4 linked regions of the Alligator mississippiensis genome follow. The protein of the gene in region 2 interacts with the protein of the main gene of each other region in a pairwise test. Links are inferred from orthologs where the notes say so. Each region holds a gene or a part of one and is shown on either strand. Other genes may lie near its edges. The genes, in order: KCNA4, SAT1, translational activator of cytochrome c oxidase 1 and DMRT3.

Evidence for each region.
Region 1: the proteins of SAT1 (region 2) and KCNA4 interact in binary tests that used the Homo sapiens proteins (3 or more experiments, as listed by UniProt). The link is inferred for Alligator mississippiensis from reciprocal best matches to the Homo sapiens genes SAT1 and KCNA4.
Region 3: the proteins of SAT1 (region 2) and translational activator of cytochrome c oxidase 1 interact in binary tests that used the Homo sapiens proteins (3 or more experiments, as listed by UniProt). The two-hybrid records come from large-scale screens. The link is inferred for Alligator mississippiensis from reciprocal best matches to the Homo sapiens genes SAT1 and TACO1.
Region 4: the proteins of SAT1 (region 2) and DMRT3 interact in binary tests that used the Homo sapiens proteins (3 or more experiments, as listed by UniProt). The two-hybrid records come from large-scale screens. The link is inferred for Alligator mississippiensis from reciprocal best matches to the Homo sapiens genes SAT1 and DMRT3.

Annotation. Positions count from the first base shown.
Region 1 is NC_081825.1:207,409,416-207,416,804, reverse strand, and holds the start of KCNA4 (potassium voltage-gated channel subfamily A member 4), read right to left. Parts: upstream 3,007-7,389; 5' UTR 2,285-3,006; intron 1,499-2,284; 5' UTR 670-1,498; coding exon 1-669. UniProt on the Homo sapiens protein: Voltage-gated potassium channel that mediates transmembrane potassium transport in excitable membranes. Forms tetrameric potassium-selective channels through which potassium ions pass in accordance with their electrochemical gradient.
Region 2 is NC_081824.1:316,091,412-316,098,337, reverse strand, and holds the start of SAT1 (diamine acetyltransferase 1), read left to right. Parts: upstream 1-3,925; 5' UTR 3,926-3,943; coding exon 3,944-4,009; intron 4,010-4,333; coding exon 4,334-4,385; intron 4,386-4,470; coding exon 4,471-4,554; intron 4,555-5,841; coding exon 5,842-5,943; intron 5,944-6,034; coding exon 6,035-6,075; intron 6,076-6,470; coding exon 6,471-6,641; 3' UTR 6,642-6,926. UniProt on the Homo sapiens protein: Enzyme which catalyzes the acetylation of polyamines. Substrate specificity: norspermidine = spermidine >> spermine > N(1)-acetylspermine. This highly regulated enzyme allows a fine attenuation of the intracellular concentration of polyamines.
Region 3 is NC_081828.1:74,614,163-74,622,150, reverse strand, and holds the start of translational activator of cytochrome c oxidase 1, read left to right. Parts: upstream 1-4,988; 5' UTR 4,989-5,095; intron 5,096-5,245; exon of another isoform or gene 5,246-5,269; intron 5,270-5,887; 5' UTR 5,888-5,931; coding exon 5,932-6,196; intron 6,197-6,544; coding exon 6,545-6,651; intron 6,652-7,988. UniProt on the Homo sapiens protein: Acts as a translational activator of mitochondrially-encoded cytochrome c oxidase 1.
Region 4 is NC_081826.1:192,449,676-192,456,587, reverse strand, and holds the start of DMRT3 (doublesex- and mab-3-related transcription factor 3), read left to right. Parts: upstream 1-3,908; 5' UTR 3,909-4,473; coding exon 4,474-4,879; intron 4,880-6,912. UniProt on the Homo sapiens protein: Probable transcription factor that plays a role in configuring the spinal circuits controlling stride in vertebrates.

The sequences.
Region 1 (7,389 bases), on a different chromosome or scaffold from region 2:
GCCCCGCTTTGCTGGATCACCCAGCAGTGTCTCAGGGAACTGAGCCAGGGTCTTCAGTTGAGTCTCAAACCGCAGTCCTGACACATTGATTACCACCCTCTCACAGCACTCATACTCATTGTAGCGAACTGAACTGTAGCTCCCAGGGCCACCGCCACCGCCACCATCATCAGGTGGCTGGTCTGAGTATGAAAAATCATCCACCCCATCTTCATCGCTATAGTAGAACTTTCCTTCCTCCTCATCCTCTTCATCCTCATCTTCCTCCTCTTCTTCCTCATCATCACTCAAATCCTTAAGTATTCTCTCTTCTGAGCCACTGAGAGGCAACAACTCAGAGCAGGGGAAAGAGGCCCCACATTCCCTGCTTCCCAGATGGTGGCTTCTCTTTTTGCCTCGCTTCTTCCTCTTGCTGTTCTGACGCTGGGGCTGGCTGCTGCGGGATGCATTCCCACCACGCCCTTGTTCCTGGTGGTAATGGTGATAGGGCCCCTCTCCACCAGTGGCTCCACCTTCCACTGCCGCTGTTGCCGCTGCCACTGCTGCAGCCGCTGCCGCCCTTGAGTGTGCCAGTCGTTCCCTCTCCCGGGCCCGGGCCTGGGCCGCATATCCATACGGCAAGTGGCTATTGCATCCAGAGCTATCTGCACTCACCATTGCAACCTCCATTTTGCAACTGTTTGTTTATTTGTTTAATGCAAAAATGTTCGGTGTATCTGCTGTCAAAGCTTGTTGTTTTACTGTGGGAAGTTCAAAGGTGTTTGCATTTGGAGGCTGGTCTCTTGGAAGCTCAACCCATCAGGATACCAGTTGCGTTGAGTCTGTGTTTTGTAAAACTGTAGCAACCACAGATCTGCATCTCTTTATCATCCAGGCTGTATCACAAAAGTTATGTCTTTTGCTAAGAATGGAAATTAATCAAAAGATGAAGTTCTCAAATTTGATCAGGAAAGAGCCTAGGCCTTGTCCTTTCATCCACCAAGCCCCTTTGGTTTTAGTATTCTCTGGTGGTGTATGCAGGATCAACAGATCTGAACAATTTCATGATATTCTTGCAGGCTCCCAAGATTACATCCAGCAAGGAGCAAATGTTTATGCAAATAGAAAGGGCAACTCTTCTATTAGTTTTTTGCCACCAAAAAAGTTTCAGGTCTTTAGTTCACCAGTGTCACCAAATAAAAATAGCCTGTTTTCTCATACTTTCCTCCAAGCAGTGCTTTGGCCTAGTAGTCTGATAACTGATTGATATTGTTATTTAGGGAGTTGAAGCAACTTCCAGCTCTCATATTGTTTACACAGTGAGGAGGTCTATCCATGCCCTCTTTTTTCAGCCTGTCAACAGTGTTTCAAACCTGGGAGCTGCACCCAGGATGGCGGCAGCAGTAGGAAGATGAGGAGGAGGAGATGATGAAGGCTGCAAAACTGGCTCTGCAATCCCCATAGGAGACAAGGGAGTGGATCACCCTTTGGTTATTCTCATGCTGAAGGAGCACTTAACCTGAGGCACATGCATATACACATACAAAAAACAACAAACAAACAAAAAGGGAAGAGGTTGGATCATTTTCCTAAGAGGCCACAGTGCTGAACAAATGAATATAGTGTCATTTATTATTAAGGTGTTCAGTCTTCCACCACCCCCACTATTCAAATCTATACTGTACATACACACCCATATCTCACAGAGAGAGATTTCACACGTCTGTGTGGGTATGGTTGTGGGTGGGTATGTATTTTATATCTATAGAAAATGTACACCCATGTACATGCTCACATCCATACGCAAACACATGCATGCTCCGATAGAAAGAAAGCAATCAATCTATAAATACTAATGCACAAGCCAAAACATACACACACAGAGTGCGTTCACATTTGGCATGATCAGTTAGTTCAAGAAAAAAAAAATGTATAGGCTATAGCTTTGGTTTATTTTTAGAACTTAATTAGATACAGCAATGGTACAGTATGTGCTATGTCTAAACTGTGTTTCAGTCCCAGTGAACATTTTACTGCATTTCATGTAGAAACAGGCACATCCACTGGCATGTCAAGTGAAGCATATTCATGGTGTGTGTCAAGAAAATGCAAACTGGAGAGGCAATGAAGCAAAAGCTAAACACGCACGCACACAAACACACAGAACCAGCATCCTCATGTCCAGCGACCTTTTACATTCATACAGCACAAGGAGATGGATATTAATTGTTAAATGACAAAAATGCCAGATGTGTGTGCCAGGCAAAAAAAAAAAACCCCCAAACCAAAAAGCTATTATACTTACTGTTCCTAGGCAGAGAAAGAGCAACGCTGTTCTCGCTAGCCTGAGGATCTGGAGAGAGAGAGAGAGATCTTGAAGAGAGGATTGTGTTGAACAATCTCTGTTTGCAGGTGCAGGGTCAGGCAGCCCTACAGGTTGATGAGTTATTTTTTCTGGCTTCTCTTTGCGTGCAACAAGACCTCCTGGAGAGAGAGGCAGCCAGCCTGAGTTGGGGGGATGCTGGGCAGCGGCGATCACTCCTTACCTTTGCAAAATAATAAACGAGCAAGATTTCCTGTGCCGGGGGAGGGGACAATAGAGGGCTTGTGTGTGGGGGGGGAGAGAGGGAATGAATGGATGTGGCCTTTTCCAAGCCCGGCTTTTGCCGTAGATTTGTCAAAAAGCAAGCAAGCAATCCGTGTGCCCAACCCGCCTCTTGCTACTGGCAAGAGGATGTCTTGCTTGTTGCAATTTCCCTCGCACGCACGTTTGAACTGCAGCTGATCGCCGCGCAGTTCGGGCGCTCTCGCAGCATCCACTTGTTGTGGCTGTTGTGTCTGAAGGATTGGGCTGGCGGCGGGGAGGGAGAGGGAAGAATGAATAAAAAGGAAAAGATTAAACAAAAAAAGCACTAGCGGTGCATTTATTCCCTGATTTCAAAACTGCGCAGCCATCAAGCGGGCGCTGTGATCAATGAGTTCAGGGTTGTAACTCGAGCAAGTCCTGTTGCTCTCTCCTGCCCGCTTCTCAGCCGTGTTTACGTGCCACTGAAGGACAAACGCCGGGGCTAGGTCTGATTTATTCCCGAGGTTTTCCACCTCTCTACCAGCCCCTAGCGGCCACAGCTCCCCTTGCACCCTCATTGTTTGCAAACGCTCCCCCTCCTTCCCCCAGGCGTGCTCCCTTTTTGTATTAATGTATTAATTATTGAAAGAAATATTCCAACGCTGAATAATACATAAGCTGGCTAATAAAATGTAGTGATTAAGTCAATGCTAAAGGCTCTGTCTTTTTTTTTTCCTCCCCCCCTAAGAAAGAAAAATATGCTGCAGAGACACTGGAGGGAATTTGGGAATTTCAAAATGAAGCAGAGCACCAAAGTTTAAATTAAAACAGGAAGACCCACATCTACCTGGATTCAGCTGATATTTTGCTCTCCACTCACCCAAATTGGACCATCAACCCTTTGAACCGCCCGTGCCGCACCACATCCAAGCCACAAGGTAGCTCGGAGCACCAACGCTGAAACAAACCTGGATCGTGCAACTGGATCCGGTCAATATCTTACCCCAAATTCTGCTTCTTAAATATAAAATCTTATTTTTCTCTTTCTATGGTATTTTCTATTCTTCTATGTCAGTCTTCTTCTATTTACCAAATGACCCTGTCATAGCTTTGTGTATGAGTACTGCTGCATCTCTGTCTGGCCAGATTCATCCAAACTTGCTCTTCATCCCTCGTTTTCCTTAAGAGGAACAAAGAACCAGTGTAGTGCTGCTTCAGCACCACGATATTCACAACCTAGATAGATTCTCCCCGCACATTAGTGGGCATCACGAAAATGCGTATCCAGCACCTGGCTGAGTCTTGAACAGATTTGGCCACAGACCTCAAATTCTATCAGTTTAATAGAAATCAAGGGTAGTTATTCCTACATAGCTAAAAAAACCAAAAAAACAACTAGATCACATTGTATCTTTATCCATCAAACTAGGAAATACATATGAATCCAACCAATTTTTAACCAGAATCTCCCAAATTGCCTTTTAAAAAATAGTGGGAAAATATAACTGTTCCTAATGCACCCCCCAAAATATCCAGGTCATATTTGAAACTGGCACTGGAGAAAACTGGATCTTACTGGTTCTAGTCAGATTGCTTTGTTTATTACTACCAGCTACTTCATTTAAATTGCAAAGTATCAAGTACCATTGCACCAGTGGTATCTACTGCAAAGACATATATTCAGCACCTGAATCTCATAGGACCAAGCACTCAGATTATGTAACAAAGTAGAAGAGATGCAGCAAGATCTAGTAATGTTAGTGTACTGGGAGTGGATAGTGTTACTTTCCATTTAGGCATTAAACTTTGAATGCTTAGTTCAAAAATTTGTAGAAGTCATGTTCCAGGCCTAGGATTTGGCAGCATGCAGGATACATGGCAGTTTGGAGATTTTTTGTTTTAGTAGGAGCTCTTCAGACTTGTTTTCTATTTAGGTGGTATATTTGGGCAGCAGAGGTAGGGGGTGGAAGTTGAAAACAAGAAAAATGCTAGGCTCTGTTAGCTATCATATTTTTTTCAGAGCTTCAGATCTGCTTTCTTGTCCATGCCTCTTACTGCTGTTACAGTAAAAGACCGTGTGAAGGACAGCAGCAGAAATGGATCCAATTATTGTGCACCTCTTCAATTGTTATTCCTTTCTATTTTTCTACCAACAAAAGTACAGTCCTAAGCAAAGAAAAGGGCACTCTGTCAGATGATGGTGTATGCCAGTAACGGATAGAGCAGGTACCTTCTATATTGTAAAGCTTTCTCTGTATGTAGGCCCTCTTTTTAAGTCTTTTCTAATACAATTGAGACAAGGCAAGTAAATGTGATCCAATTAAACCCCAAAGTCTTAGCTGATCCACCTTTTCCCAGACACTTTCTAAAGCAAAAAAGCAATCCTTGATTATTTATAGATGACTGAGATTGCTACAAAAAATACTGCAACTCTTATTTTATTCATCATATTTTTGTAGATTAATCATATTTTCGTTCAGACATTCATTCTTATTAAAATCCCTTTACCTGCTCTCCCCTCCTTCGTCTTTCCAAGGGAAAATATTAGTAGAACAAAGAGACAGAACGTGTAGTGGGCCAATATCTCCAGGGGTAGAACTGCATTTAGTACGTTGTAATAAAAGGACCTCACTATAGAGATCTGCTCTGCTCTCTGGTAGTCGAATGGAGTTGTATACTGTACATTAGCACCGTTTATCTGTATTGTACCAAAGGAATGCAGAATTCTTTCTGCATCATCTTGCCTGTGGAGAATGAACTCCAAAAAAGTTAAATTCTTTGTTGTTATAAATTGATACCTCACCAATTTAACTATGCATTATTACTTCACAGTATACCATCAGCGAATCTGGCCCTAATATGTAGAAGAATTCTGTTATGATGGTTTATTACCTGTGCAATCTGAAAAGAAATCAAAGGACCTTCTGAATGATTAACACAAAATTTACAGTAGAGATCTACATGGATCTTGACTGTACAGTGCTTTCAGTCTCAAAAGCAATTTATAAATATTATAAATATTACAAGGTCTTTGAGCTAAGTCACATTATTTTCCTTATTTTAAAGAAAGGAAAATTATGGCAGGTCAACTAGATGAATAATTCAAGGCAAAAGAGGGAGAGAGATTGTAGCCAGGATTAGAATCTAGGAGTTACTAACATCTTGGCCAAAGATCTGCTTATTACACCATGCTTTTATTTATATACACAGCACAGTACAGATTACAGTGAAAAAATGATATATAAAATCAGCAAAAAATTTCTGTGGTCAAAAGTAAGATTTAACCTATAAATAACATGGTTTTTTTTTTTATTTCATTTTTAAAATACAGCTTCACACGCATCCAATAGGATTATTTTTTTCATTCTTACAGCTCAAAAAAGATATCCTTGTTCATTCAAAATAAATGCTTTTAGCCATTTATTTTCCAACAACGTTGAGAAAATATAATTTAAAAACTATTTTACAGCCTTCCCCAGCTGTAATCTGTTAGAAAAGATCCATATCTATTTTGAATGTGAGTGCATTACAGACAAAATTAGGGCAGGTTCACATCTCCCTACTGATATCAGCTGGACATTTCTGTTGTCACAGCTAGCACCAGGGTGAGGCACCACTGGAAAGGTACACATTGAGAAGGCACGTTGAGTTCTGCTTACGCTAGTTGTAAGTAGTTGTGCTATAGTCTTAAAATGTTACTAAACTTAATATTGCTAGACAGAATACCATAATGATCAGGTAGTCTGATGATGGTGTATGCCAGTAATGGATAGAGCAGGAACCTTCTATATTTAGTAAGTTGTGCTATATTCTTAAAATGTTACTAAGCTTAATATTGCTAGACAGAACACCATAATGATCAGGGCAGAAGATGTGCACATGCATGAATGGTTAATATAACAGGACCAAAGTTAGTTGTGTCACATGGCCAGTGCCAAAATGAAGCTGACATGTCTACAGTGTCTGAACAGTGTAGACTTGACTGGTACATCCCCAATAGCCCACCCAGCAGTTGGTAAGGTTCTTGCCAAAGTTGCCATATGTGTAAGGCTTCTGCAGTGCAGATGGGCAACTGGGTCAGCAACACTCAACCCCCTAAGCAGGGCTAGTTGAGCCTGAGCTTGCTGATTGGTTCCAGGGCTTAAGGAGCTCTTACAGCACCTACCCCTACTGCACAACACCCTGCCCTCAGTCAGTGTGTAGTTCTCATCCGTGTGACTTCCCTGGTGCTGGTTCCCACGTTCCTTTCCATGTACCATCTTTGAACTTCGGAACCCCAGTTTAACTTTGGCTTGCTTCCTGACATCCGCTTCTTGTAACCCCACTTGCTGGTTTGACTTTGGCTTGTCCCCTGACTAGATGTTGGTAATACCCCCCCAACTCTAACCAGTAGGCTGAATGCCTCTGTGGATCCTGACAGTATGCTAATCTATGATACTGACCAACACACTGTCATATTGTGTTTTCTCAATAAAAGTTGCTTTACTATACTCATACGAAGGACTTGTTCTGACAAATTCCCTCCCCTCAGGCAGGCCAACTCACAGAAACTAGTGAGGAGCCATATTGATCCAACCCATGTGACTGAGAGCACTAATATTTAAAAGGATGGCAGAAGAAGAAATAGAAAAGTCAATCTCTGCCTACATCAGTCTTTACTGGACCTGTACAGCTGTCCTTGGGACTTTGATGCAGGAACCAAGGGTGAAAGAGAGCAGCTTCCCACTCACCATCACTGCTGGCAGACTGTCACCAGGTTACAGGCTTAACTACAGGTCCAATATGAAAAAGTAGTGGTTGCAAGGGGGAAAAGGGCCAATAGTTCATCCTGACATACAGACAAT
Region 2 (6,926 bases):
GATTCCACATATCACTACAGCTCTGTTGGTATAACAACAGTCACTCTATACCTTCCTCATGAGCTGGTGGGAAGACTTTCATCCCTGCAAACTCTACATATCCCTAGCATAAATTCTGCTCATTCTGGTCTTGTCTTCAAACTTAGGGCTGGTGCTCAAATATACAAGCCCCACATAAACCACTGCAGGATGGACAAGGTGGTGATTCACAGGAGGAACTAGGAAGGAACAAAGTCAAGAGATCTCCGTTTAGTTAGGACAGTTAGTTAGATGGTTCAGACAGGGCCCTCAAAGACATAATGGCAGAAGTTAGTTACTGCGATATGCAGTAGCAATTTGAAGAAGTTAATCATTCAGCATAGGACCACTATGAAGAGTCAGTCCTGACCCTTCAAAATAGCTGCAACAGGAAGGAATGAACAAAAGTTTTAACATTTACAAACATAAATAGGATCCAGATTGAGACTTAGTGTATGCAAGTCGGTGAAGCTACATCTACTTGCAACACATCTGATTTTAACCCAGGAGATATCATTAATCTTTGCATTTACATCAGGCTCTTCACCACAGTATCCAAGCGCTTTTCGTTGGTAGAAACATTTTCTGCAATACGGGTGTACTTGGTAGCCGTGTTGGTCTGAGACAAAAAGACATACAAAAAACTAGAACTCTTGGTTCCAAAATGATACTCTCATAGTATGGTCTAATAAAAGGTATCTTTGTGAGCTATGTTGAGTAGCTCTTTGATGTGTTGATCAGGTAGAATTCCTTCCCTGGAGGGGCCTCCCTGTCTGCCATCTGACATAAAAAACTTCTTTGTTGTTCTGCAATGAAGTTTAAAATCCAAAATTGACTAAAATTCGGCATCTTCCGTGTTTCAGGGGTAGAATTCCTTCCCTGGAGGAGTACACCTGATCAACACATCAAAGAGCTACTCAACACAGTTCACAAAGACATGCACATGGACCCTGAGGGACAGACTCCCATCTTCAGCTCCCTCTGTGTAAAAATGAAGTTTATTTCCTACCTATGGGGACTTTTTACCATCTTGTACCATCTACACTTTTCCCCAAAGCCCGACAAAGGGACTTTGATCCCAAAAGCTTGCAGAAAAGGACACTTTTCTCGCCATTTTCCAGTTGGTCTAATAAAAGGTATCATTTTGGAACCAAGAGTTTTAGATTTTTGTATGTCTTTTCTGCAATATAAAATTTTCACTAGAAAAGTGCCTTGTTTTGGCAAAAAACAGATCTAAGTCCTGAACCAAAAAAAAAGATGCATTACATCTGAACCTTTTTATACTTCACTATGCACATGTAACACAACACCCCATATAAGCAGTAGTAACAGAGAGCTTGATCTTACAAGCGGCTGGGCATTATGTCCTTCATTTAGCAATTACTAAATCCTGTGGTTAACTTCAAGCAGGTGAATAGTGCTGTTGAAGCCTTAACCTTTATAACCCCTTGTCTTGGGAAACAAACAATTAAAATAAACACTGAGACTGCTGCTAATTCTTAAAACTATTTTGAGAGGTTAATTCAAATTATTCTGTGTTTAGAGCTGGCTGACTACCTACTCATCAATAAGATGAGTTCTGTGATTCAGAGGGAAGGTTAACTGGAGGTCAAGGGAAAATGCATGCCCTATTTGCCATTAGTTTCACTTCCAAGGTTTTTGCAATTCTGATGCTAAAAAGCTCTGTTCCTTTTGCTGGATGATAAAATGAATTCCATCAATTCCACAGATCTCACATTTTAAAAGATCAGTTGATAATGTGGGTAACATGCCTAACAATGAGGATTACACAAGAATCATTCAAGCAGCGTCTTTGTTGGATTTTTATATTAGTAAACTATCTACACCTTGACCATTCTCAATTTAATGCAGGCTTCTCACCACTAAGGCATGCTATCATCTCGACAACAAATAGCCAAAGCCTAGGCTCCTTCTGCCCAATTTATAGGGAAAAATGAGACGGTTTGAAACCTCTGCTGAACTCAGCAGTTATCAATTAACTGATTGCACTAGCAAGTCAATTAGCATCATAAAACATGAATTACTGTTATATGGAGGCTTTGAGGTGTGACTATTTGAGTTACCTGGGGAGAAAAAAAAAAAAAAAAAATCAAGAACTCTTGGTTCAGACATGATACCTTTTATTAGACCAACTAATAATTTATCTAGCAGAATCTTTCTTTTAGTTTTTCTCTCATCTGCATACCATATCCTGCAGTGGCCCACAGAATGCTTTCTGATTTTTCAATATTTTTTCCCTCCAGCATACATATGAAAACAAACCCAAATGAGCCATGTTTGCTGGGATAATGCAGAGTCACCACATTTTGGTGCAACTGGAGAAGTGGGTGCAAAGCTAAATTCTCTTAAAATGCTGAAGCTAGGGTGGGGGAGAAGTCTAATCAGATTTTAGTTTCTGAAGTCATGAGACTGAGAAAAAAGAAACTAAGTACTTCTCTACATTACTCAATTGCAGTTTCCTGACAGTGTGGTTTCCTGTATGACAAATGAAAAGAAGAAAAAAAAAAGCTGAGGACTTGTGAACACTGAAGTTGTTTTTGTATTGTGTTCCTCATGCACAGGATTTCTGGAACGTCATAAAGTTTTCATGAATACATTTCTTTAAACAACACCTCACAATCCCCCAGGTCTTATACCGACCTTACTAGAAATTCCTGTGGCACTTGATTAGAGAGTGCAACCGGCTGGGATCTTCCCACAGAACTTCTTCCCACCACCAGCACCAAAGCGTTTGCCTAGGCCCTGTGGCAGAAACAATGGGTACACAGGGCTTTTTAAGGGTTGTTGGTTGTAGCCAGGTTGGTCTAAAGACACAGGCAGGCAAGGTTCTTTGGGTAGAGGTGATACCTTTTATTAGACCAACTGAAAATTGGACAAATTGTTCTTTGCAAGCGGTCAGGCACAAACACCCTTCTTCAGCCATAGAGAGTCTGCTGGACTTTTCCTATGCCTGAAAACAACCAGCAGCTTCTCTTTATGCCTGAAGGGCATTTGTGCCCAAAAACTTACAAAGAACAAAGTTTTCCAATTATTTAGTTGATCTAAAAAAAATAGCACACATACCCAAAGAACCAGAGCACCAGTGGGAGAAGAGGCAGAGATTTTTCTTTTGCAAACCATCACAGGTACATCACTCCTGCGCTACCACCCCACATGAGGGACATGTTGTGCAACTGCAAGACAAGCACCGCTTTACGCCAGCCGCAGCAGCTCTGGCAGCGCTGAGGTCAGGCCCCTTCAGCCTGGCTGGAAAAACAGTACAAGGGCTTGTGCTTTAGGAGCCAGAGGAGCGCAGCCAAGCCAAGCAAGGACCAGAGAAGCGTGCTGGTGGCCTCGGATTAGTCAAGGTGGTGGAGCTGGTTTACTGTGGTGGAGGATGCCTGGCACGCAGAGGAGTACAACCCCTGCCCCCAGGAAGGGCACACAACCACAGAGTGCACACTCCCTGCTCTGGAGACAGTAGCAGACGGGCCACAAGGCTTCCCCCTTCATTAAGGGGGGCGGGGCGCTGCGTGGGAGCGAGGCGCCCGCACCCCACTAAGGGGCGCCCTTGCCCCTGTCTCCAACGGCGAGTCACGAGACGCCGGCTGTTACTAGCAGAGTGAGGTAATCCGGCGGCGGGCGCGCGGCGGTTGGCTGAGAACGCTGGTGCGGGCGCGCTCATTGGCTGGCGAGGCGGAGCCTGCTAAGCTATAAATAGGGGCCGGCGCGGCTCCTTCGGGCTAAACGCCGCTACGCTACCGTTCTAGTTGGGCGTTTTAGGACTTGCTGTACACCGCCGCATCGGGTCATGCTCGGAGCCTGACTAGGCGCCCGGGACACGAATGAAGAAGCAGCTGCTCCTCCTGTTCACTCACCGGGGACTTGTCAGCCGAGGGGGCCGCAGGGGAAAACGCCGCCGAAAATGGCCTCGTTCCATATCCGTGCCGCACGCCCGGAGGACTGTTCTGACCTGCTGCGCCTTATCAAGGTGCGGGCGGAGGGGTGGGGACTCGCGCGTGCGCAGTGTGAGCTGGGCATCTCCCCCTCCCCCCGCCCTTTTTGCCTAGAGAGGGAGTCCATTCGGAGGAGGAGGGAGGCTTGCGCATGCGCGAGTAAGGGGGGGGGTGGAACACTTCTGCGGCGTTCTTGCCTGGGAGTCGAACGCGCCTGCGCACTAGCGTGGGCAGAAGCCAACGATTACATAACAGGCAAGGGAATATTGGGGCCTCTGTCTGCACGTGTAAGGAAAGGGGTGGGGCTTGCGCATGCGCACATCCTTGCGAGTGTTGACAGCTTCTCTGGTCCCTTCTAGGAACTAGCCAAGTACGAGGACATGGAGGACCAAGTCATACTGACTGAGAAAGGTAAGGTGCTCATTGGCATGGTCAGCAGCTCCCCTCGGTTGCCATTCCTTGTTGGTGCCTGGCTCTAATGTCTGCCCTCTTTCAGATCTGCTGGAGGATGGCTTCGGGGAGCACCCGTTCTACCACTGCCTAGTGGCAGAAGTGCCCAAGGAAGCGTGGACACCAGAAGGTGAGACTTGCTGCTGCTGCTGGTCTTAACACGAGAAACCCACAGGCCGCACGCAGCCTGGGGTAATGCTGCTGATTGTACATAAGGCTTCCGCTGTTAAAACGCGGTAAGAGGAAAAGGTTTAAGTGTTGAGATGCAACTGTGCAGATTGCAGTAGCTTTCTAAGTAATCTGCCAGCCTGAAGAGCATGGGAGACCAGGTATAATAAATATAATGTGCTTTAATTCCATTTCATTAAATGGTTTTCTTGTTTGACCCTAATTTACCTCTTATGTAATCCTGTTGAATCACATTTTTTTTTTAATTTGTCCCCAATCTTCAGGTTACAGTCTCTAGCTTCGCCATGTACATGGCCCTTCCGTGTACATGGATGGGCGGGGAGGTAACTAAAAGATCCGTTACACAATAAAGTAGATGATCATGATATGAGGTAAGGTCTACAGGGACAAGTACTATTCCCAAACCTTTACCAAAAAAACACGGTAGATCAGAAATCCTGTATGCACTGTCTTCCTATGAGCATGTGCGAAGCACTATGGTAAAAATGTGATTTCAATTTTTCAAGTTTTAGGATTGAATGGAATGATGTGGGAAGAGTTGGCTCCTCTTCCAGGCTGAGCTATGGAATTGTTGTTGGTCAAAGTAGATAATAGCTTCCTGTTGCTGAGGGTAGAGAGAGACTAATGCTATCAGTGGGAGCACAGAGGAAGCAGTGTTGGAGATGCCATTACAGCAGCTAATGGCTGTGAGAGAGCACTCCTGGCTTCCCACAGAGCAATTTTTGAGTAATTGGAAGATGAAGTAGTGCTTTTTAGATTACATTCATTATTAGCTTTATGCTCAGATTCTAAGGAAGCAAAGTTGAGCTCACTGTCACCAGATTCTGAACTGCCGTGTCAAACTTAGTCTGATTTGTATTCCAAAGTGGACATACTGATAAATCATTAGGGTATGTATGTATCTGTACCAGAAAACCTTGGTTGTTTGGTGCTTATTCTTAACTGTAACACTGGCTTTGAAGATGCAGGGTATCAGAAGGATAAGTTCTCATTTTCTAAGACTGATTCAGGTTGCAGGAATTTGTCTTAACTGTAACTTACTGCGCTTATTGTAAACTTCTATTCCTAAACCCAGCCTATGATAGTTGCAAATTTAATAGTTGCATGTTACAGAAATGGCCTAGGCATTAAGACATGCATGTGAGACTAATTTCTTTTTTTTTTTTTTTTTTTTTGAAGGCAACAACATTTTAAGTTTTTACTAAAGTAATAAAACTTTTTGTTTCAGAACATTGTGTTGTGGGTTTTGCCATGTATTACTTCACTTATGACCCATGGATTGGAAAACTGCTGTATCTTGAAGACTTCTATGTGATGTCTGACTACAGAGGTATGTTCTAATCTATAGTAGTAGATTGGAAAATTTATATTTTTCTAAATGGTGTACTACTGGAATAGCTTGGGGTTTTTTTGCTTTTTAGGGCTTGGCATTGGTTCAGAAATTTTGAAGAAGCTGAGTCAGGTATGTTGTGGCTTTTTCATTCTTCCATTAGACTTTTTTTTAAGCACCAAACAAGTAATATGTAATCAATGCTGTTTATTGGTTGTACAAACTACTGCCTTCAAACACTACTTGGAAATAAGGGATTTAGTGGCATTAGTGAAAGAAAAATACATCCTATAAACTGTTTCTACTAATCCTAATTCTGACAAGCACAACAGAAAGTGGACAAATCCCAGAGGATAGGGTAAAGGAAACCAGCCACACTTAACACTGCAACCACTGTTTAGTGGCATCCATTTCAGCTCTGATTCAAGCTGCAATTTATTAGCCTATTAGTGGAAGGATAGCCAAGTTCATGTATACAGCAAATGAGATTGCTCTGTCTTTTAGTCTACTCTGTAATATTTCCATAGGTTGCTGTTAAAAGTCGCTGCAGCAGTATGCACTTCCTGGTGGCAGAATGGAATGAACCTTCCATTAGGTTCTATAAGAGAAGGGGTGCCTTGGATCTGTCGACTGAGGAAGGGTGGAGACTCTTCAGAATTGACAAAGAATACTTATTGAAAATGGCAACTGAAGAGTGAAATTGTTCCAGCACATGACAAATCCTATCCGCGAATTATACTTTGAATAAATTCTTGCCTTATTCTTGCTTTGTGTACAGTCTGTAGTGAAATAAATAGCACAGATGTTCAAGAGCTTTACCAGTGCTGAGAGTAGTACTATAGCTACTGTACCCCAGAGTTGACAGCTGTGAAGTCCAGTTTTTTTGCTTGTATACATCTTTCACTAGTGTGGGCTTGTGATCTTTAAATATATATTGAATAAAACTTCATTCTTGTAAGTGTAATGCAAATGTGTACAATGTA
Region 3 (7,988 bases), on a different chromosome or scaffold from region 2:
AGCTCTGGGTGTCCCTCACAGTGGGCCCCTGGCCCTTTTGACCCTTCCAGTCTTGGCCTCAGCATCGTCCAGCTGAGGATGCTTTGAGTCAGGCCTCTGAGCCTCTATCTCACTCCCTACTCTGGGTCCACCTTCTTGGCCTTACTATGGTGTAACCCATCTGGCTGTGGGAGCTGGGGTTATTAAGGCACCCCAACCCACCTTTCACCAGGGTGGTAACTGGCCTGGCATCTTCTGGGGGTTCCCACACCACTGGGAGCACCACCAGACCACTCACTCCTGGCAGGGTACAGTTTTAGATCAGGACCAGGAGCCTCCAAACCATCCCCTTTTGCTCCTGCCCTTATCTTGAGGATGGTGCATACAGCCTTGCAGCCAGGCAATGTTTCTGCCTGCCCCACCAGCAGCCAACTGCTCCATTTATACAGGCAGTCAGAGATCTAAAATGGCTGCCACAATCAAGCACCTGCTGGCTGCTTAGCTCAGCCCTTAAAGTGGCAGGCACACTTCAAGAAGGATGTGAACAGCTTGGGAAAAATCCAGCAGAAAGCAACAAAAAAGATTAGAGGCCTGAAAAGCATGATTTATGAGGAAAGGCTGTGAGAGCTAGGGTTTTTTAGTTTGGAGAAGAGTAAATTGGTGGGTGGGGGGGGACTAACAGTCTTCAAATGCCTGAAGGTTGATTATAGAGAGGATGGATACTGCCACAGAAAAAAATTAAGTTGAAAATTAAGAAGAACTTTTTGGCTATGAGGGTAGTCAAGCATTGGAACAGGCTACCTAGAGAAGTTGTAGAATCTCCATCCCTGGAAATTTTTAATAACAGGTTGGACAGACACTTGGCTAGGATGGCCTAGTCAGGGATGAGCCTGCCTTGAGCTGTGGGCTGGACTAGATGACCTGGTCAGGTCCTTTGCAGCCCTACTCTCCTATAATCTTGTATACTCAGCTTGTCTAGATAGTTCCAGCATTCTCAGGAGGCAGATGGTTCTTCTCCCTGGCATGTGGCCATCTTGACAGAATTATGAAGTTGAGCACTTAAAAGTTTTTGTTTTGTAAAGTTTGTTCTGAGACTCTTTCTGGTTCCTACCTTTCAAGCTGGTACTGGCTTCATTCATGTTTTCTGCATCTTTCTGTGTTTCTGCATTTCTTACAGGTTGAGCATCTCACATCACCATATTCCCATGAAAATGACCCTGTACAGTGGTCACTTTTTTATAGTTTATGTCTGAAATGTAGCGTTTTAGTTTTAGTAGCAAGCACTGAAGTCATCTTGGGGCTTAGTCGTTTCTGATCTGTTTCTTTTCAAATGGTTTCCTGTCCTTGAATATGCAAGTTTCACTTTACCCGTGTGAACATTATTTTAATGCATTCTTTTTCAATTTGATCATCCTTAAGTTCCCTTAGCAATAACAACCTTGATGTGAGAGCTACTGGCTGCTTCTTCTGGAGAGAAGGATGCCTCAGGCTCATCTCAGAGATATCACACTGTATAGCTGTCTCTTCCTCCACATTACAGCATTTCAAAATGAGGCTTTTGAGTACCAGCTCCTCAATACATGCAATGGCTGCAACCTCTTTTGGTAATCATGTTCATTCTGTGTTTTCAGGAACTTGCATCCCTTGAGAGACCTACAACAAACTTTGTCAGATCCTTTACAAGACACAGCAATTTCCAAACTGATTAAATATCTTTATGAATGGATACCTGCCATTTTGCCTTTCCCATTTCAGGGTTAGACCACAGCCTCCAGGAAGTCATCGGTACTCTGTCTGGCTTTGCTGTCAATCACACTTTCATCTTATTTTTATTTCTTTATCCTTTTCCCTGCCCTTTGCAGCAGACAATCACAATTGTAGCCATGATCTCCAATAGCTTCCACCAGGTTGTCTCTCCATCTGTATGTCAGAATGTCACCAGCTGTGACACTGATCCCCACCAGGCCTGGTAGCATGTCTTGTTGGTGGGGTTGATAGTCTACCAGACATTTATGCCAGTAGCATTCTGTCATCTGTGTTTACCCACTGGTGCCCAAAGTTGGAGAGTCATCTTCCTTCCTTATCATGGTTTACATGGACCAGTTTCAGTTGTTGTCACTCACTGGTGCAGAGAATGTGGCTGGGAGATATGAACAACCAGTTGTGAACTGGACCTGTGCACAATTGCATGCACATACACACTGTAGGTACCAATACACAGGAGTCATCTGCCACTTTCCATTATGTGTGTGACATAGAGTAATCCTGCTGGGAATGTAAGGTGTTCAGGAGTGTGGCAGCCCAAGAGCCAGCCTCAGTGGGCAAGCAGGAACTTCCTGGCATGACAGAACACCATCAAGGCTAAATTCCAGACCCACGCAAATATGGTAGCAAGAGTGTTACTTCCTTAATGTAAGAAGTTCTTTATATAAGTTCCTGAACATAATAAAGAGTTGTTTTCACACCACAAGCCTCATATAGACCAGTGATTCTCAACAAGGGTGATACAGTACCCTGGGCTGCCTTGAGATTCTTTCAGGGGTGTTGTGGGGTGCTATGCAAAGTTAGCACCGTTAGGTGTGTAAACATGATTCGCCATGTAAATCCCAAGATTTTAAATAAGAATCCATAATGTTAAAAGCATGCTGACCTGCTGCGGTCTTTAAGTGCCTTGCCACAGAAATATTGCTCTATTATTTTCCAATTGGCAAGAAACAAATGAAAATGATGAGCTGGCATTTTCCAAGTGGCGCTTTGAGTCTAAGGAGGTTGAGCACCACTGATCTAGGTACTACAGTGTCCAGTAGAGGGCAGCAGTAGATTAAAACATTATGTATAAATACAATGATTCTCTACCAGGGCCAGGAGGATTAGGGCCAGAGAGCTCCTGTCAGTATATCTGCCTTGTCTCTTGTATAAGGACACGAGGGCCGGGGGCAGGGGCATGCCAGACATCCTCCTGTTCCCGTGGGCCAAGTATACAAGTCTGATCTGCAAGCTGGTGACAGATGCAGAATCCAAAACCGCTTGCCTCGTGAAATATTTTGCAGGGCACATCCTGAGACACTGGGGGGTATTCACTCTGACCAACCATAGACTGTGAATCACGGGCTCACCGTGTTTCTACGATACCCTGAACAAGTGCTGCAGTTTGTATGGCCTGCAAAGTGCAGGCCCAGCAACCATTAGAAACCACAAGAAGATCCAGGAGATGTTGAGGGTGCGGAACACCATGTCACCCATGGACCTGCTTCCGGGCGATGTGTGCCAGGCTGTGCGGGAGGACATCGACTACAAGGATCTGCGCAAAGATCATAAGGACCTGAACTGGCTCATGGCCCACCAAGTTCTACCAGTGAGGGCCCGGAGACACAGAGGGGTAGCTGGGGAGACCCAGCTGCCCATGGCCCAACTGGCATGGAGCCACTGAGACGATCGACCACCTCCTTTGGCTCTGCACCTGCACCAAAGAGGTATGGAAAAGGGTGAAGCAGCTCTGCGAAGTGGTGACTGGCGTCAGCTGGTTAATCAGAGAAGCGGTGCTGTACGGGGACCTCGACAAACTCCAGAGAAACCTGTTGCCCCATTTCAATCAGTTTGCGTCCTGCATCAGGAGTGCCCTGTGGAAAGCCAGGAACCTCCTGTTGTACAGGCAAATGGACGCAGAGGTAGTAGGCTGTGTGAAAATGGCACTGAGCGAACTCTGGACCTACTACCAGAAATCGGTAGTGGAGGATGGAGAGGATGCGGACAAAGCCACCTGGCACAGAGACATGTGGCACAGGATCATCCAACTCCCTCTGAGTGGAAAAGGGGGCGGTGACAGAGAGGAACAGGAAGGGACAAGTGGAACTGAGGATAGCAGCAGTGAGTCCTCCAGCGGGAGCTGGAGCGACAGCGACATAGAGGACAGATGAACTGAGAATGTGACCCTGCAAGCGGGGTGGGGATGGAAGGGAAGTATTGCCTGGTCTAAGGGACCAGGATTTGCTTGTATGTGTGTTGCTGCGGCTATTGTAACAGGTTCAGTTATATGTATATATATGGTGCTTACCCAAGCTACTTTTTCACACCATCAGGCCCCTGAAAGTGCTCTACAGCTGTGACGTAACACACGTGGCACAGCTGCAGAGTGCTTATAAAATGGCTGATTGTTTGAAAAATTAACCCTGGTTAAATCAAGTATTAGATGAAGGTGCATGAGGCTGCCCCAAAAAACAGGTCTAGGAAAAAAAAAAGAGTTGTTTTGGTGTAAATGTTTTAAAAATGTTTTTTGCACTTTTCCTCCCTTTAGGAGCTGGGAGGCTCCTGTGGCTCTGGGAGCAGGAACTTTTGGGAAAGCCCCAAAACATTTAGTATGACTCCACCTGCCAGTATCCCACAGACTCAGTGCCTGCCACAGCTCGGCAGGTGTGGGGAGAGGACCCAGCCAGGCTCAGCTGGCACCTTGCCCGTGTTTTATGGGAACCTCTTGGGCAGGGGGGAGGTTGCCTTTCTCCCACAGTCCTGGAGATCCAGGGTGTCCAGCTCCGTCCCTTGCTCCAGTTGGGTTTGGGAATGGCGAGTCCTGCCTGTGGGACAGCAAGCGGGAAGGGGTCGTGCCACGTGAACAAGCACAGTGCAAGCACAAGCATAGTCGTGGCTACTGCCGGGACTCCGAGGTTGTCTGTCTGGGGCAAGGCTCGCTCTGAGGTCTCCGGGTGTTGCGGGGCGCTTGCAATCACCGTCCTCTGGAGGAAAGTGGGAAGAGGAGGTGGCCCCTCACAGAGACCATGGTGCCCAGGCTGCCTTGGACGACACAGCAGAGCAGTGCCACGGCCGAGACAGGCAGCAGTGCGGGCCCACAGGGCAAGGTACAGAGGGGCGAGGCCCCCAGTGTGGCCAGGCAAGGCCCAGCCCCACACAGCCGGACGCAGCTTGGGGGGAGGGGGCCTAGCAGGACCCGGGGGCACGAAGGTGGCTCCCCACCCCCACCCCGTGAGCGCCCGCCGGCAGTGACGGGGTTAAAATCACCCAGCTGCCCCCGCGCGCGGAGGAAAGGGACGTACGGCGCGGGCCCTTCCTGCCCGGCCCGCGGCTGCTGGGGCTCGCGGGGGTGGCGGCGTCTCCCCTGCAGGTGCGACCCCCGGGCCGGGAGCGGGGGCGGGGAGCTCGGCGGCCTGGGATCCGCCCCAGCCCGGGGGCAGCCGAGCCAGCGCGTGTGCCCGGGCGCCAGGTGCCCCCTGCCTAGGCGGGGGTGGGGAGTGGACATTGTGCCCCAGCCGTGTGACACCTGTGTGCGCGCATGCGGGTGGGTTGCGTGACGTGTGCTGCATGTGCGTGTAGAGGAGGCACAGGCGCTCACATTCCATGTGAGAGTGTCATGTGTCATGCTGGGTACTGTGATGTCTAAAGCACTTGTATGTTGGAAGTTGGGCTGCATTGTGTGTGTGTTGGTGATGAGGTCATGCCCTGGGTCGCATTGTATATGCGTGTCAGACAATTACACAATATTTTATGCCGTGATAGGAAGAGATGCACTCCAAGCTGTGCAATGGGCACATGTCCATTTGCTTGTTGCAGGTCAAGGTTGTGTGAGAGTATGTGTCCATTTGCTCATTGCAGGCCAAGGGTGTGAGTGTGTGTGTGTGTGTGAGTATGCATGCGCTTTAGGCCAGACATGTCTAAGTAGCAAGCTGGGGTAGATGATGTACCTGTTCCAAATCATATCCCAAGTGTGTAATGTGGGTACACAATGCACATGCAGATGTTCATTTGTGCATCATGGACCAGGCTGTATAATATCCATGTGTCTGTGTTTGTATGTATGTATGCATGCCAGCGCATTAAGGCCAGAGAGTGTGACACCTGCATGTGTCTGTTGCAAGCCAAGGTGTGTAACCCGTCTGTATGCCCATGTTACTGACAGGCTCTGAGACCGGTGCCTTTCCAGCTTCTGCCTGATAGCTGCTCATGGCTACATCCGCCACCCTGCAAAGAGCAACTGTGCGATACCAGCGACTTCTGCTGGCCTCAGCGCTGGCATCGAAGGGGTCAGCACCATGTCTGTCTGCCCTGGGCCCTCCCTACCTGTTGGGCAGGGCACTACGTATCACAGGTGCCATCCCTGCTGGCCACAACAAGTGGTCCAAGGTGAAGAACATCAAGGGTCCACGGGATGCTAAGCGCAGCCAGATCTTCCAAAAGCTGTCCATGATGCTGCGGTTTGCTGTGCGAGGTATGGGGGGAGGGGGTCCCAGGGGCTCTGCTCTGCGATGTATGAGTCTAGGGGAGTCTCTTAGGCTTTTCTGTATGAGGTATGGGCCGAGTGTGCAGCCGCTTGAGCCCATCCCCTACAAAATCCCTGTCCTGCCTGGACTGCTGCAGGGTAGTATTTGGGTCTGTGTGGGGTGTACTTCTGTTCCCATTCCTTCCCCTACCAGCTCCCCAGCTATGGGAACTTCTCCCCATGAGAGGGGATAATGTCTGGAATCCTTGGGGTCAGAGTGGTGCAGACATGTCCCCGTTGAGACTCTGGCCACATCTTCCCTTCTTGTGACTTGTCCCTTTCCTGTCCCCTTTGCAGAGGGGGGACCTGATCCCGAGTTGAACAGCAACCTGGCCAACATCATCGAGCAATGCCGCAACAACAACATGCCCAAAGCCTCAATTGAGATGGCCATCAAGGGAGTGGTGTGTATACGGTGCTGCTAGCTCAGCTCTGCACAAGGGTGGTTTGTGTGAGTCTGTGTGCGTGTGTATGTGCATACATCTGCACTCATGCTTGGGCTGTGGTTGCTCTGAGTTCTGCAGTGAGGGTCATGATGGGGTTGGGAGTGGGTGAGAAGTTCAGCAGAACAGAATGACAATGTTATGCTCCTTGTAGAGCCACCAGGTAGTGTTTGACTTGTTTGGGCCACGCAGCAGTGTTATAAACATAGTGTTTGGTTGTTTTTCTCCCCCCCCACCCCCAGTTGTTTTTTTTTTGAATGTACATTTATAAAAAACTTGGCAGAAGACATTTGACTTTTTTAATATACAGTTTTGAGGAAAAAAACTCAGCAAAAATGTGTAGCAATTTTTTTTTAGTTTTAGTGACAACTTAAATGGCAACACATGGGAATATCCTGTTAGTTTGGGATACTGATATCCTCCAGCCAAGGTATAATTTATCTTTTCAAGAAGCAATGTCTTGTTCTGTTCCCAGGTGCTGCTGTGATGATAATGATAGAAAACAGTATTCTGGAGAAGAAAAGTGAATTAATTGCCATCCATTCCCTTATCAACTGTGAGCTCTGGCATCAGTCTTTTTCCATAGCCTTCTATGGAAGGCTAATCCAGAGGTGGAGGCCCATCATAGGGAACCATAAGAAAGACTAGAGCACCTAAGAAAAGTCTACTGTAAAGAGAGACTGAAAATGGGAGCGTTGTTCATCATATGGTGGACACACACCCTGGTTATTATAGCCAGTTTTATTCTGATTTGTACTCCAGAGTAAAGACTGGACACAACCAACTCTCACAAGGGATCTGCAGTAGGTGCTATTGCATTGTGTGGCCACTAGGTGGCAAGGGAGCCAATTTGTATCAAGTGAAGGGCTACCCTGGATGAAGTTGTGGACACCCTGCACTTACTCTGTAGTAAATTAGCCGTGGAGTAATGTTATTGCAGTTATTTTGTCAGGGAAACTTTATCCCAGAAAAGAAAGACTTACTCTGTGGTAAGGTGATGTCATGCGTCTACTTCACTCCCAGAGTAAAACCAAATTTCCTTTTTTGCAAACTTGCCCTGTGGACGAATTGGAGGAGGCAGATTGGGATGCGGGGGGAGGGGAAGGTATCTCTTTTCTTTGTCCTGTAACATGGGAGCAAGGGGGCAGGAAATGAGCTAGGTCAGGGTGCTCAGAACCCATTCAAGCAAATATTAATTGTCAGCTTGCTGCAGGCAGGGTGGCATCAAAGCTGAGAAATTAGGAGTTATGAGATATTTCTGTGGCTCATGGGAGCACCTTGAGTTACCACAGGTCACT
Region 4 (6,912 bases), on a different chromosome or scaffold from region 2:
AGCCAAAGGATTTATTTTATTTTATTTTATTTCCCTCCCCCTGGAAAATCCTGATCGTTTTCTTGGATGCCAGCAAGTAGCAGGCCTTTGCCTCATGCTCTCAAATTAGCTCTTTTTCCAAGACGGGATTGATTTCAGATGGGGTGGGTGATGGGTACGGAGGAGTTGATATTTTATTTGGACGAGGGGAATGGTGGAAACACCTGCACAATGGGATTTGGGGAAACTGCAACTTTTTCCCAGAGTCTAGAGTTGCAGGACCTGCCCCCGGGCAACTGCTGGGAGAAGCCGGGCGTGGGGCACGTAAACATGGGGCGCAGCCTGCTACACTGCATTTTCGGAGCCCCTCAGCATTTGCCACTGATCGCCTTTCACTGGCCGGGGCTGGGTTTTCCTCCCCCTGCCTGTGGACCCCTGGGTAGAGGCCCCCGCAAAATATTGTCCCGGTTGATCAACCGAGCCCCGCATTTGTCACGCAGCCTGTTTTAAGTTCTCTGCCTCGTCAGTCATTATCCGCGCGCCTCTTTAGCGAAGGGGAAGGGGTGAAGGCAGGCTGCCCGGTGGCTACAGCTGCGTTATGGTCGCCTCAGGAGAGGAGGAAAGAAACCCCCAGAAGCGCCAGGCTGGGTCCTTTCTGGGTCAGCCTCTCAGTACAACGGGGGCTGGACGCTGGGATCCAGGGACAGAAGGGTCCTAGGAAGGATCCAGGGGCATAAGGGTCGTAGGAGGGAGCCAGGGACACAAGGGATCTAGGAAGGATGCAGGGACACAAAAGTCTCAGCTTGGCCGCTACGAGCCCTTCAGGCTCTCAAGGGATGATGCTGCCGAAGCGGGGGGCAGCAGTGAAGTCCTGCCTTCCCCAGCCTTTCCCAAATTTGCCCCCGTGGCCGGGAAGCAGTGACATCCTACAGCTGTCCGGGCGGCGGGGGCTCCCCTAGCTGCTTGTTCTAGTCGCCCTAGTTTATTAGTGTGATCCTGGACCCGGATAAGCAATTGTTTAAAATTGTTTTTCATGGGATCTGCGGTGTATTTCATGCCACTGTTTCCTCGCATGGAGGAGCTCATTGCAGCTGTCGGGCGTTTCTGTCTCGCAGTCATGATGGGAAAACAAGCACCAGCTTGCAGTCACTGACTGGCTGGTCAGTCCCAGGCTCGGGCATCTTCTGTGCACCGGAGGCGGCTTGGTAGAGAGGCCATGGCACATCTCTATCCCCCTCTGCCCCCCTCTGCCAGGCGGCAGCGACCGCTTGCCAAGTTGCCCAAATTCACCAGCAGCGATTGCAAGCGACGGGAAGATCCCGTTGCTGAAGCCGGGGGGCGACAGGAGAGAGGTGCCCCCCGCACCCCTAGTGTCATCAGGGCTCGAGGATGTCAGCACAGCCCGCAACCCCCCCGCGGTGCCAATGCCCGCGCAATGGCGAAGGGATGGTCAGCTGGCTGCTTGTGCCCGGGCTCTCCAGAGCTCGCCCAGGTTTGCTTTTTCAAAGCATTCCCAGGCGGCCCCTGGAGATTGCATTTCCCAGACGGTCTGAGCCTGATCTGTGGATTATCCCAAGAAAAATCAACATCGAAGAGCAACCGATTGTCAGCGGGTTCACTCAAATGAAGTTACATTTGGGTTTTGCCCTCCCCCTCCCCTGAGCTCCCGCAGGATTTTTCCCATAAACGTCTAAAGCTGCTGGATTTAGGAGAACCGGGCACTCTCCCCCTAAATGTTATTTGGACCATATGCTTTGCACATTCATTCCCTTTCACTCTATTCTTCTCGGCGCTAACTGCTAACACGTTATAGTCACCTTGAAATTTCCTCTGCTATTTTCCAATTAAAAGCTTAATAGCCCTGGAAACGGAGTTCATGTGGTGAAGTTTACCATAGCCCCTGCTTCTGAAAGGCTTTCTGCTGGGATCCCATTATGTGCTTGAATAAACCTTTTCTGCAAACAGAAATGGGACTCGGGGTTGTCAGGTGTTGGGTTACAATAGACTTTCAGGCAGGGGACATTTTGCTAACATAAATACAAACCTGTCCCTATAGGGAGATGTTGTCAAATACTAGGATATGGAAAACATTCCCATCAAATATGAAAAAAGGATTACTGCCCTATATCAAACGAGCGGTTCAGCCTAAACTCCCGATGTGCACTCAAGTGAAACAGGGGCCCCACGACCTAATAATGGCAGCGGTGGATAGAGAGATGCGTGGCCAGATAGGTGACAGAGTCAGTGAGACTCCCTGCTCTGCTCTGGGAAATCCAGAGCCGCGGAATACAGTCCAAAACATCTTCGGAGAAAGATTTGTCTTGGGGGTCTCGACATAAGATCCGGGAGACAAAAGTTCTTTCCCCCCAAAATTAAATAAAGCCAGTAGAGCCATAGCAGAGCGATAGCATTTATTACAGTAGGGATCATCAAGAATCCAGCGCCTCATTCAGTTAACCACATGTCCTAGGTTCATCAGTTTTTCCAGGTGGATTCTGTAGACGATTTTGCCTTATATTTTAATTTGTTTTTTAAACGTAAACGCGCTTCCTCATATTTTAAGTTTTTTAATGTAAATTCGTAAGCGTGCATTTGATCTATGGGATTAGTTGTCCCGACTTGCTGTATTCAAAACCCGTAAGTGATATATTTATACACATACATAATATATACATACATACAGTTTTGAATACAGGAAATTATGTACATATATGTATCTATCTTTTAGATATATATCTCACACCCTACGGCTAAATATTCAAAAACTAAGTGTGAGATACATAGATATATATCTATATACATCTCACACATCTATCAAACTTACCGTTTGTTAATATGCATGTGTGTATATCTATAGCTATAGTTTATCTATATACATGCATGTATTATCTATAGATAGATAAATATAAATATATATATATATATATATATATATATATATAGCTCTCCATATATAGATATCTAGATATATAGCTATATGTAGGTATAGATATATAGAAAAAAATCTCTAGATACAGATTGATACATATAGATATATATATATAGAGAGAGAGAGAGAGAGATTTTTGCAAGGGCTTAAAATTGCCTGTAGGAAACGTGGTCTATGTCTGTGTAATATTCTCGGGGTGAGACTAGCATCAACCAACGTTAGAGACACAAACAATACGGGGGAAACATTGTGTTGCGATTTGGGCATTCTGCAGAAAATAAATGGACTGCGTGCCCTATTCCCGATCTGTTTCAGTTTCCTCGTCATGTAAAAAGCAACAGATGAGTTAGACAAGAAGCCCCTCTCCTTTGATAGCGGCAAGATTTGTGTGTAAAATACGAATCGACCAGCTGGGAAAGCGAAGGAGGGCTTTGAAAAGGAACACGGGACCGAGTGAAATCTCAGGTCGCGTGTATCCGTCTCGCACTTTTACTCCTTCTGGGCAAAAAGACTTTTCGAAGTGAATGAGCGATCTCTACGTTTGAAAGTTGCTAAATATGTCACCGCTGCCATCAAACAGCCGCGGCATAAAACTAACTTCTTTTTAACAAAATGTTGGTTGAGGAACAACAAAGGCAAACTTTCAAACGCGGCCACCAGCCCGCGGCCCCTGGCACGGAGTGAATGTGGGAGCAGAAGGGCGATCGCCACGCTCCGAAAGTCAGCTCGGGGGGTTGTCCGGGTTTAACAACCGCCTGAGATGAATTTGCTTCATCCCAAGCTGCATTCACGGCGGGGTTTGGGGGGTTATTTTTTCTTCGGGGAAGGTTGCTGGGAAGCGCCTTTGGTTGCCTGCCCGGGAGCTGAGCCGCGCGGGCTGGGGGAGCTGGAAAGCAGAGTTACGGACTGCGGCTCGGGGTGGGCCGCCGGGGAGGGGGCTGCCCGGGGGGGCATGGCAGGAGCCATCTTGGCGAGAAACAGCCGGGCGGGGAGGCAAGACCTCGGGCCCGCCGGCTCCGGCCATTTGTTTCCGCCAGGAAATGCGATCGCGGCCGGTTGGGAGCCGGTTTGCGGCGGGCGCAGGGGATGGGACCGGCGCCTCTCGCCCGGCTCCTTCTCCCCTGGTACCCGTCCTGTGAAACTTAGCGCGGCGGGTCCCACTGGTGCAGAGCAGCCGGGGCCCGTGCAGCCCGCTCAGGCACCTCATTGCTGCAGGGGGGGGGGGGACACCTCCCCGCCCTCCTTGCAAGCGAGGGGTGCTGGGGAACCCCCCCGAGAAGCCGCAAGCGAGGGGTCGGCTGCCCCCAGCCCGGCCCAGCCCTGGAGGCAGCAGCAGCAAGCCCCAAGTGGGGGAGCCCCCCCTCCCCAGCGCGCACACACTCCTCCCGCCCGCTTCCCAGTGGCTGCAGCGGCTGCCCAGGAGCCGGCGCGCCTCCCCCCGCTCCCTCCCGCGGCCCGCCCCCAGGCCGGGCGCAGGTGGGAGGCAGGTGCGGGGCTGGGGCTCGGGCCGGCGAGCGGCCGCACGGAGGCAGAGGCTGCGGCCGCAGCAGCGCGCGGCTCGGGGCATGAACGGCTACGGCTCGCCCTACCTGTACATGGGCGGCCCCGTGTCGCAGCCGCCGCGGGCGCCCCTGCAGCGCACGCCCAAGTGCGCGCGGTGCCGCAACCACGGCGTGCTCAGCTGGCTCAAGGGCCACAAGCGCTACTGCCGCTTCAAGGACTGCACCTGCGAGAAGTGCATCCTCATCATCGAGCGGCAGCGGGTCATGGCGGCGCAGGTGGCGCTGCGGCGGCAGCAGGCCAACGAGAGCCTCGAGAGCCTCATCCCCGACTCCCTGCGAGCCCTGCCCGGCGCCCCGCCGCCGCCGCCGCCCGCCAGCCCGCAGCGCCCCCCGGCCGAGCTGGCCGCCGCCGCCGCCCTGCGCTGGGCGCCCGACCCGCCCGCCGGCCTTCAGCCGCCGCCCAAAGCAGGTGAGGCTCCCGCGGCCGGGCGGGGTTGGGTTGGAGAGACCGGGCAAACTTTCTCAGCGCAGGGAGCCTCCTCCCGCCTTGGAGGGCTGGGAGCGCCGGCGAGACAAAGCCTTTGGTCCGGATGCGGTGGGTCCTGCTCGGAGCAGGGTGTCGGGCTGGATGCCCTCCCTTCCAGCCCTCATTGGCCCTCATTCCCGAGGCATGGGGGGCTCAGGCTGAGTGGGATCCCTCCCTCCCCCCAAAAAGGGAAAGGACTCTCCTTCCCTGGAGATGAGCTGCCTAGGGGACGCTGGCCTGACCCAGAGCAGGGCTGCCAGGCTGATCAGCTGGATGGAGGGGCTTCCCTGTGAGGAGCCCAGGCCTGGGTGGTTGAGAAAAGAGAGGCTGGAGAGGAGATTTACCTACTTGTACAGGGAGGGTTTGGAGAGGGATGATCCTGCCTTGCATGAGGTGACCTCCCAGCCCTGCAAAGTCCACGGGCAGGAGAAAGCTGGTGGGGATTGATCACTGCCTCTCTCAGCGGGCAAGAACCAGGGGCAGAAGATGAAAGGAGAAGGTAGGAAGTTGAGAAGAAACAAAAGGAAGCTCCTCTTCATGCAGTGCCTCAAAGCCTGCGGGACTCCTTGCCCCCAGATGCGGGGGAAGCTGATGGTTTAGGCAGATTCAGAAAGGGACTGGACACCTTCTTGGAGGAAAGGGGCAGCAGGGGAGTGAGGGGCACAGCCTCTGGATCAGCCCCCCACGCTGGGGGCTGCAAGCGAGAGAGGAGTGGGGAAGACCCTCCTCAGACCCACTCCTCACTTGTTTTCAGCTCCACTCTCTGCCCCTGCAAGGCACTGGGCAAGAGGGACCCATGGGCTGTCCCAGGAGATGGCAGCTTGTATGGCAAGGCGAGGGCAAAGCCCTTATGCCCAGCCCGATTGAATTTGTTCCAGGCCAGATCCGTGGCTTGCTCCCTCCTCACTCGCCCCAGTGGGGACTGGCAGCGGAGATGAGTGGGAAGGGGCAGCTCCCAGCCAGCAGGCACTGTGCGGCCCCCGGTGGGACACAATCAGATCCCCCTTGGAGCCTGCTTTTCCTGCCCGGCTCCCCCACCCCCGCAGACCCTGCCCTGTTTGTGCGCTCTCCTGGGGCAATGTGAGAGTGGGGCAGCAGCTCCTGCCATTTGTTTACTTCATTCTTCAGCCCCTCTTCCCTCCCCTCTGAATAACTTTACAGCTAACACTTTTTTTAGAGATTTATTTTTGTTTTGGCTCAGCAAAATCATTCTGGAAATCCTCCTCCCTGAGGGACAGAAGCTCCCTGCACGCAGAGGGGCTGCCAGGCTGCTCCTCATGGCCCCAGCGAAAGCCTGAGGCAGAGAAAGTGTGCAGAGAGCAGGGACATGGCCCCTGAGCCAGAGGAAGGCGCAGGGGGGTTTCCAGCCCTCTTCATCCCCACACATGGCAGCTGTGGGGGCAGCGCTGTGCATCCCAGCGGCCCTCATAGTCTTGGGGGGGGCTGCTGCCCGTGGGGAGGAAACCCCCGATGGACAAGCTGAGGCTTTCTCAGGCTCAGCCCCGCGCCATCCCGGCCCGTGGGAGTGAAGCAGGGGGCTTGGCTGGAGCCTGGGGCTGGTGCATTGGGCTCTGCACCAAACTCCGAGGGCTCCCGCCCGCCTTGGAGCCATGTGCACTGGTCCCTGGGGGCAGCCCGCTTGTCCCTGATAGTCAGGAGTTACACTTTGACTCTTGGGGGTGGGTCTTGGAGGGGTTTAACACTAAGTTAAACTGGTTCATTGGTTAACAAGTCTACTCCGAGACCTCCTCTCCAGATTATGATTTTCAAATCTTACAGGAGGGTTTTCATCTCTTATGGGGGTGGGGGCTCAGCTGCCCCAAGCTCCCCCATAATTTGGACTCTGGTCTGGGGGAAGGTAGGAGCTCTCTCATGCAAGGGTGTGGGGTGAGTTGCCCTGGGCCCCAGGCTCCATTTTCTCTGCCCTTCTTGGTCGCTGGCAGGGCGGGCAGGCTGGAGTGGAGGCTCCGTCGTCA